2 linked regions of the Oryzias latipes genome follow. The protein of the gene in region 1 interacts with the protein of each later gene in a pairwise test. Links are inferred from orthologs where the notes say so. Each region holds a gene or a part of one and is shown in the gene's direction. Other genes may lie near its edges. The genes, in order: kifap3 and ncf2.

What was found.
Region 2: the proteins of kifap3 (region 1) and ncf2 interact in binary tests that used the Homo sapiens proteins (3 or more experiments, as listed by UniProt). The two-hybrid records come from large-scale screens. The link is inferred for Oryzias latipes from reciprocal best matches to the Homo sapiens genes KIFAP3 and NCF2.

What each region holds. Positions count from the first base shown.
Region 1 is NC_019875.2:21,195,030-21,199,410, reverse strand, and holds the start of kifap3 (kinesin-associated protein 3), read left to right. Parts: upstream 1-1,304; 5' UTR 1,305-1,469; coding exon 1,470-1,498; intron 1,499-3,605; coding exon 3,606-3,737; intron 3,738-3,982; coding exon 3,983-4,140; intron 4,141-4,381. UniProt on the Homo sapiens protein: Involved in tethering the chromosomes to the spindle pole and in chromosome movement. Binds to the tail domain of the KIF3A/KIF3B heterodimer to form a heterotrimeric KIF3 complex and may regulate the membrane binding of this complex.
Region 2 is NC_019878.2:10,710,629-10,715,110, reverse strand, and holds the start of ncf2 (neutrophil cytosol factor 2), read left to right. Parts: upstream 1-1,620; 5' UTR 1,621-1,850; coding exon 1,851-2,024; intron 2,025-2,214; coding exon 2,215-2,297; intron 2,298-2,440; coding exon 2,441-2,549; intron 2,550-2,661; coding exon 2,662-2,796; intron 2,797-3,160; coding exon 3,161-3,268; intron 3,269-3,368; coding exon 3,369-3,428; intron 3,429-4,336; coding exon 4,337-4,380; intron 4,381-4,482. Other genes in the region: garem1 (GRB2-associated and regulator of MAPK protein 1), read right to left, coding at 48-168. UniProt on the Homo sapiens protein: Subunit of the phagocyte NADPH oxidase complex that mediates the transfer of electrons from cytosolic NADPH to O2 to produce the superoxide anion (O2(-)).

The sequences.
Region 1 (4,381 bases):
ATTCTTTTTGTCTTTTTTCTCACTTTTTCATACCAAAACTAGTCAAATCATTAATCGGTGCTCGCTAAAAGGACAAAAAGCCCTATAACAATCAAGTGGGACTTGTCTGCATGTTTAGTTTAGCTTAATGAGTCTTATAGTCTGAAAAGTATATTCCTTTTTAAAATTAAAATAGTTTTATTTTTCTTCAACCAAAGAGCCACAATAGAGGCTTTAAAGAGCCACTTGTGACTCCACAGCCTCAGGTCACTGTCACTTTAGGAGCTTGTGGTATATCTGGAACAAAAGGAGGAACTTGGTTGGAACATGTGCACTTGGTTCAGCAGCTGCACAGGGGCTCAAAGAAAAGCTCTCCAACGGTCATCAGCACCGCCCAAAAGATTGTTGACTGCTCTCTCCCCACCTGGAAACTCTCCACAGCTCCAGCTGCCTCAACAGAGCGCAGAATATCTTTAGAGACACATCACACCCCAGACATATTAAGTTCTGTTTGTGCCAAAAATATATGGGTCAAGCAGAGTAAGGACAAAAAGACTCTAATACAGTTTTTACATAATCCATAAAAATGTTAAATGTGGCTAGGAAACATTTAAGCTGGACTTCCGCTAAATTGTGATACAACGGACATTTTCTTCTTCATTATTATTATTATTATTATTATTATTATTATCTGAGTTTAACACATATTGACTATCATGTTTTTTTTTAGCAGTAGTCCATATAAAGCAACAAATTGGTTTAATTTCAAGTTTTAAGCACTGCCCAATGTACTTCTATGTTTTACTTTTTATTTTAAGTGGTAGGTCTTTACCATGGGTTGTTTTTAAGGTATGACAATTAATGATAAAGATCTATCTATCTATCTATCTATCTATCTATCTATCTATCTATCTATCTATCTATCTATCTATCTATCTATCTATCTATCTATCTATCTATCTATCTATCTATCTATCTATCTATCTATCTATCTATCTATCTATCTATCTATCTATCTATCTATCTATCAAAGCACAGTATAACATATAGGGGGGATTTAATGAGACTGAACAAAGTATTGTATCTTACAATTAAATTTGCGACAGCGGCTCGAATTATTTTAAAAAGCTCTCCTTTACTGACTCAAGTTGTGTTGTGGACATTAAACTGTGCCCTATACAATTGTATGTGTAAATTGTATTATTACACATTACTTTCTGCTTCTGATCGTATTTCTTTTCCAGCTGTGAGGATTTGGATTTGAAATGTTGCCTTAAAGTCATTACTTAGGGTCTACATTCCCCCTGTAAGTTATAACTCAGGGCACCATTTGCCCACCGACGGCTAACCCTCTAGCTTTGTATTATTGTATTAACTGCCGCTATCATTGACAGTCTGTGACGGGCAACCGCTGTGATTTCGGAGTAAGCTCAATCAGATGTGATACAACTATAGAAATAATAAAAGGGTAAATTAACATTTACAAGAAAATGCAGGAAGACACGCGCTGCCTCAAACGGTGAGTTAGAATGAATGAGTTATTTTTTGTCGATCGATCATCGACCAAGGCCTAGAAGAAAGAAGACGAGCTCTGTAATATTTAAATGAAAAAGTGATTGATTAATTATATCAGCAAGTATTTGTTTTTTGTAATTCGCAAGAGTCGTCACTTCACGAAAGACTATAGCCTAGCAAACACGTTTATATTTTGCTTAATGGGTACGGAGAGAAAGGCGTGCTGTTATTTATTTGCTTTCTTTTTGTTAAATGTACACCACATCTCGCAATTAAAGATGACTGTCGCTGCTTTGCACAAAACAACAACAAAACGCATGTTAAATTGTTACCTGAGGGTTTTTTTTTTTAATGAAGGGGCTTATGGGAAATCAGGGGGTTGCTAGCCTAGCTAATGAGCTAAACATGGAGAGACTAGTTTAAACGGCAACAGATAATATGTATTGTTTTACTGCTTCAACAGCTGGTTGTTGGTTTTCAGTCATAAGACAGTCAGCGTCCGCGAGTGTTTGTGATACACGTCGACGATGGAGATTCCAATAGGCCATCCTTTTCCCGTTGTCCAGCAATGTACGACAAGATTGACATCATCATATTGGGAGGGGCAGTAAATAACGACACATGGCTTTGCAGATACAAAATAAGACCCAGGCCGTGGTATCATGGCCCGTCCTGCTATCCCCACTGCCAAAGTGGAACAGCAACAGCCACATGAAACAGTGGTTCCACAGGAAACACAAAGTAAAACATTGGAGTTTTGGATAATTGGGTCTGGAAAGTATCACTGCCCAGCTGGGGTCAGCAACTTTCCTGTTGGCCGAGCGATGGATCAAGGTGGCATGCTAATGGTTCAAGTCTTTTTTCAATGATCATTTGGAACCATCTCCCTTCAGTCTCCCTGCAGTGGAACTGCAGTGGATCCATCCACTACTACCACACTCACCCCGCCCGGTTTGTGTTTCTGTTCGCAGGGCTCTCTACCTACTAGGGGTGTAACGATTCATTTGAACAATTCGATTCGGTATTTTTGCCAATCGATTTCAATTTGGCTTCATTTTGAACAATTTGATTCAATGTTATTCACTGACCTAAAATCAATCCAGAACATCTTCAGCTAACATTTCAACCAGTGTGACTCAGAGAGAAGCACCTGGTACTGAGCAGTGAAGGGGGGCATTCCAGAAAGCAGGTTATGCGAGTTACCACGGTAAGTTTGAGGCTAAGGAAGCGGATAACCTCATCTTTCAGTTCCAAAAATGGAGGTATGTTTCAGGGTATGTCAAGTTGCCATAGCAACTCTTGCTCTGAACATAACCTGGTCTGGAGCTGGTTTAGTTGAAGGTTACTTTGTTTTCAGAGAGGTGAAGGAGCATGGCGAGTCCATTTGAAGATGATTTAGTGGATGAAGAAGCTCAGATAATACTTTTTCCACCATGAGAGGGCGATAAGACCATGTATGGATGTTCAAGATTCATGATTTGTTTTATTGTCATTCCACATATAGTATTTGCAGAGAAATACACAGATGAGACGAGATGTTGTTTCTCACTAGCATGACAGTGCAAGAAAGCAGCAATAATAAAAAATAGCAATAAAATAACAATCCAAGACTGGAAAAAAAACAATGAAATGAAATTAATAAAAAAGGAAAGATAAACTTTTTTACATTGATCTAACTTAATTATTTGCTTCAGTTAAGATAAATCTTTTTTTTAGTTAAGGCTGCTTAAAAATAACACGTAGTTATCAGACTTTTATTTTACTTTCATTCAATTTAATTCAATTAAGTAGATGTAACTTTGATGCTGCTGTTAGAGCGGCACCGCAAGGGATTGTGGGATACCATTTCCTTTGCCTGTCTGGACGGATTTGGTTTTAAGTGTGGGTTTTTGACCAAGGCTGTTTATTTGTTTAGCTGTTTTACTGTGTTTTGCCTAGTTATTATGTCCTACTATGGTTAAGTCTCTGCACCATGAGTGAGAGGGAGGGAGAGGATGATGAGTTTATTTGTTCTCTGTCATTAAAGATTATAATTATGTGTTTGTTTTTTTCACAAGACATTTTAGACTGTTAACATTTTGACCTCATATTTGTTCAATTTTGATCCCCAGCAAAGTGACGTTAGGGAGTCTGGATGTCCATCCCACAGAGAAGGCTCTGGTTGTTCACTACGAGGTTCAGGCTGCTGTCTTAGGAGGTGGTGGAGGTCCTGTGCTTGGTGAACGCAAAGAAGGACAAAAAATGTATGTTTCTTGTTATCTTTCCTATATTTAAATCAAACGGATTGATTAACTTGTTAAGTTAGTTTGGATTTGTTTAAAAGTTGTATCCACCAAAACTGGATTAGCATTGTTATACATTTTTGCAATGATTAACAATGAAAAATTAGCTACTTCTAAATGCATCAGCCTCTACATTCTCCAAATGGAAATAATAGATGGAGTCAGTTATTTGTGATGCTTCAATGTTTGCCCTTCTCTCCATTTAGAATCCGTTTGAAGAGCCTCTCTCCTACCACAGATGTGGCAGCGTTGGCTAAGAAAGTGGTGGAGGAGTGCAAACTCCTCCCTGCCTCCCGTTTGCCACAAGTGGAGCAGCTCCTCTACTACCTGCAGAACAGAAAGTCCTCCCCGGTGGAGGGTAAAGGTCAGACATTTAGGCCGAGCACGTTCTAGGAGATGCTTTTAGTTTCTTTTTGTTTGCAAACACTTCAGGTTCTCAAGCTCATAATTTGTACAGAAAAATGGTTTCAGGGTTTGAACGTTTTAAACGTAATATGCCAAAATAGAAATAGGCTTTATGATTCAGTGATGTTCTCGTTATGGTACTAAACAAACTTTTTGTAAAATAATAACATAAACTGTTGAAAAAATTAGCTTTTTTTAAA
Region 2 (4,482 bases), on another chromosome or scaffold:
TTAACTGGCTAGCATGGTAGCTATAAAACTTGAAGTAAGTTACTAACCGTTATCCAGCATGACAATTTGTGGCAACTTGTACGCACTGACCAGCTGGTCTAGCGGCAGAGACGTCGTGCTCCACGTTACATCCTTTAAGTTATTGTACAACATCGTTCCAAGGTCCATTTTGCTAGCTTAAGTTAGTTAGCCACTTTTTGAGCTAACTGGTGCAAAACACGGTCACAAAAAAGCTTTCCCGAGCAAACTAGCTACACAATTATAGCTGCTCTTCATCTATGCAGTTGTGTCATGCACATGACGTTCCCAAGTCGTAGCTGCATAGTTCCCTCTAAGTTTCCCTACGTATCCAAAAGGTTCGTTGTTAGAAAAAGTAGCCAAGCCATGTTTGTTTAGTAGCGACGGCAGTATCAAGCTAACTATTCTAACGGAAATACGTCACTTTCTACAATTTTATTTTTATTAAATAAAAGCCTTTCCCTTTTCCCCCTCCAATTAAAATTGATGAATAACAAGATTTAAATCCCGGAACAACAACTCAAATTATAACAAAATTATACAAGTACATAGCAGGTGATAAAACATTAACAAAAGAAGGGAAAAGGCCAAATAAAGTGCATTCTTTAGGCTTTTCCATTAGGTTTAATTTTTTATAACCACTTCAATAATTTCACTGCGTTTTCTTTTGTTTGTTTTTTTGCTTATTTTTATTTATTTTTTACTTCTCACAAACAATTGAACTCCTTCTGATAAAATAGTCTGGATTACAAATTAAAAATCTATTTTAGTAAATAAAATATATTCCAAAAATTGTGAAGTTTCGTATCATTTCGTAATAACCAATCGATACATTTTCTAACTTTATGGCTTAGCTATTTTATATCTTATCTAATTTTACATCTTAGCTTTTGAAATAAAAGTGTTTGTTCCAACAGATGTAGAAATTGGATTTTAATGGAATGGAAGAAGTATTTACTATTTACTACATACTAAAGAAAATGCATTTAATTAATTCAAGATAAGTACCAGAAAGTATATTTTTGTCTCGCTAAAAGGTTGGGGAAATAAGAAAAATTTTAAAGAGTGTTGGCCAACAATTCAACAATTTTAAGGACAAGAGAAAAAAAATCAAAACTCTAAAATAATTTATTTTCTTATAACTTTGTTAATGTTTACACTAATCTATATAACTTAAAGAAAAAGTCTATTAAAACCTGAGATGTAACCTTTTTTTTTTGTTTGTTTTTTCATTCTATTTTGTTTTGCAGACTGTAATGCCAGATTTAAGCCTCAAACTTTGCTAAATAATGTTAAAATAATGTTTTAATTACTCATAAGTTTTCATTTATCTCTTAAGGCACATAAAATAAAAGAATAAATTTAAAAAACATTGAGGTAATAAAATAACCTGTTCTTTTGTTTTGGCTAAATATATGGGTTCACACAATTTTTATTAATTCATTTTTAATCAGTGAAGTTTTGGAAAATCTTAACTTAAGGTAGACTTTGTGATGAGTAAATGAAAAAAAATGAAAAAAATACGGTATTGCTAATACAAATCCATGTAAATCATAAAATTAACCAAAGATAATGATGAGGTGGGGAGTACTACTATTGCACTTTACTTCATTATTTACTCTTAAAATACTACAGTAAATATTTAAACACCCATAATTTTTTCAGATCAACGATTCACAGATCAAACCACGATTCTTACTATATTGACTTGGACTCAAGAGCACATGGCGTTGATGCAAATTCATTGAACGTTGTCATCAACTTCCTGTTTTTCATGGCATAAATCAGAGAAACTTCCTCAATTCAGTCACTGTGTCTCAGCGGCAGCCAAAATGTCTTTTGTGGACACTCTGCGACAGTGGGATGACGGCGTAACCTGTGCTGACAAACAGGATTTTTCGGAAGCTCTCCGGATTCTCTTGGCCATTCCTGAGCCAAACTCCAAGATTTGTTTCAACATCGGCTGTCTGCATCTGCTTAACCAGAACTTGGATGATGCTGAAAAGGTAAAGTCAAGCATTTCTCAACTATTAATTTGCTCCTAAAATAGAAAACTAGAAATCTGAAAACATCAGTTATCTGGATGCAACCGGTGAGGCAGAGATTGAATTCGATTGTAGTGTAAGTGCGAGTCGCAGTGAAACAAGAAGTGGTGCTGAAAGCGTTTTTGTAAAGGAAGTTGCTGCTGTTTCATAGGCGTTCGATTGCAGCATTCGCAAGGATGAGCATTTGGCAGTGGCTTTCTTTCAAAGAGGAATCACCTTTTATAAGAAGATGAGGTAAGACACACCGGCTTTTTACAAACAACGACCAATTTCCTTCCATTTCATTCCAAATTCAGAACACCTGTTAAGTATTTGCACCTAAACCACAAGTTTTCACTGATTTGTTATGCAATTTATTTGATCACACATCTGTAAAGGTACGAAGAGAGCATTGGTGACTTCCAGAGAGCCTTCAAAACGCTAAGAGGAAACAACCTGATCGATTACAAGGCCCTTGGTCTCAGATATATTCTATATGCATGTGAGGTAGGTGTTTTCAACCTTAGGCACAATCTACTACATCATCACTAAATCATAACACCTTCCAATTCTGCTGTTTGCATGAGAAAAGCTCTAAATAAAATCTCTCCTTTCAAAGGTTCTCCACAACATGGCCCTGGCTGAGGCTCAGCTGGGAAACTGGGAAAAGGCTGAGCAAAACCTCAGGAAGGCGCTTGACTACAAAACAGACGCCAAGCTCAGTGTCATCGAAAAAGCTCAGCAGGCAGTCCTGGTTAGCATTGATCTGATGAAAAACGAGGGTTTCTCTTAAAGTGCCCAATTTACATGGAGGGGGGGGGATCTAAAAAGTAATTTTAACAGTCGACTGGGATAGGCTCCAGCAGCCCTGTGACCCCTATAAGGGATTCAGCAGGAATATAAATAAATATTTTAAAATGTTAATCCACACATTTAAAAACTATTAAACAAAACACATCTGCAGTTTCATCTCTGCTAAGGATCTCGTCAGAGTAAATAATGTCTTTATTTGTCCAGTAAGTTCAGGTCCAACCGTGCCTCCATGGAAAGTTTAGGGACAGAATGCGGTTTTGAAATGTCAGATTTAGGACATCTTTTTGATGCGATTTCATTGACAGAAGGAGAAGCTGTTCAAACTAGTGGAGTTCCCATCAAAAATGATGTTTAAACCAAATAAACATTACGTTGCAGAGCTGGAGAAGAAAGACTACCTGGGCAAAGCCAAAGTAAGAATAAATCTTTTTCATTGAAATAAATCATCTTACATGATTTGGGAAATCTTGAGGGTGAACTTAACAATCTGTGTATTGTTTGTTTGATGATCAGGTTGTTGCCTCTGTCAATCCACAAGACGATTTTTCTGGATTTGCTCCTCTGCAGCCACAGGTGACGGAGATTCGTATTTTTCGTTGCTAAATGCTGTGATGAGGCAACAAAAAATTCTGAAAAATTGTGAAATGTCCACGCAACCTTCCAGCTTGAAAATGAGCCTTAGAAGCATGCGATGTTTGTTTCTCCCTCCTACATTTTTTATTGACACTAAGCTAAAAGCAGTGACAAGTGTAGTACAACTTGTCGGGATCGAAAAAGTATCCATTCATCCATCCGTCCGTATCTCAATCACTTTTCAGAATAACCTGTAAGCAGAAAGTCAGCACATCTGCTATTCAAGCTGTTTAAAAGACAGAGAAGGTCACAAGTCCCTTTTTTCCAAGTCCAAATCAACTCTGAAGTCTCAAGTCTGTCATTTCAAGTCTCAAATTTGAATTTTAATGAAGAGTCTACTAACACAAATTGTCATCACATTTTTGTGGACATTAAAACAGACAGTTTATGTTTCGGCAAAGCTTCTTAAAGATAATTTTTTAACAAACATTATTTATTCACAAGTCCCAAACCTGGAGGTTAAATTCAAATATTTGCATGTGAGACTTTGGTCCAAGTCAAGTCCAAGTCACAAATACAAGTCCCTATCTGTCATTCCATCAGAACCAGAACATCAGGAGGTTGAGTCATGGTTTAAACACAGTCAGTAAACAAAATCTTATTTGTGGCAGGCTGTTGTGAAAAAATTCTTGAATCTTTGGATGTGCATTTAAACATTGCCCATGTATAAAAGATTTTATGCCTTTTAATTTTATATTTAATTTGAAATTAGGATTACCTTTTGTGAGTTTTGTGTGTACATCCCGTATACTAGACAGGACTGGGGAAAACACTGGAGCCCTCAAGAACCAGTATGACTCAGTAAATCAGGGACTGACTGGATAATCTCCTTCTTAATCACTAAACAGGTTGAAGATGGTCCACTTTCTCCAAGAGAACCAGAAGTTTTAAGGTACATCCCAAGTTTTTTTAAAAATCTATCAAGTAGAAATTGATAAAATGTTTTTTAATATCTTTTTGCTGAATGTCTTTGTCCTTTCGTGTAAAAGGGTTT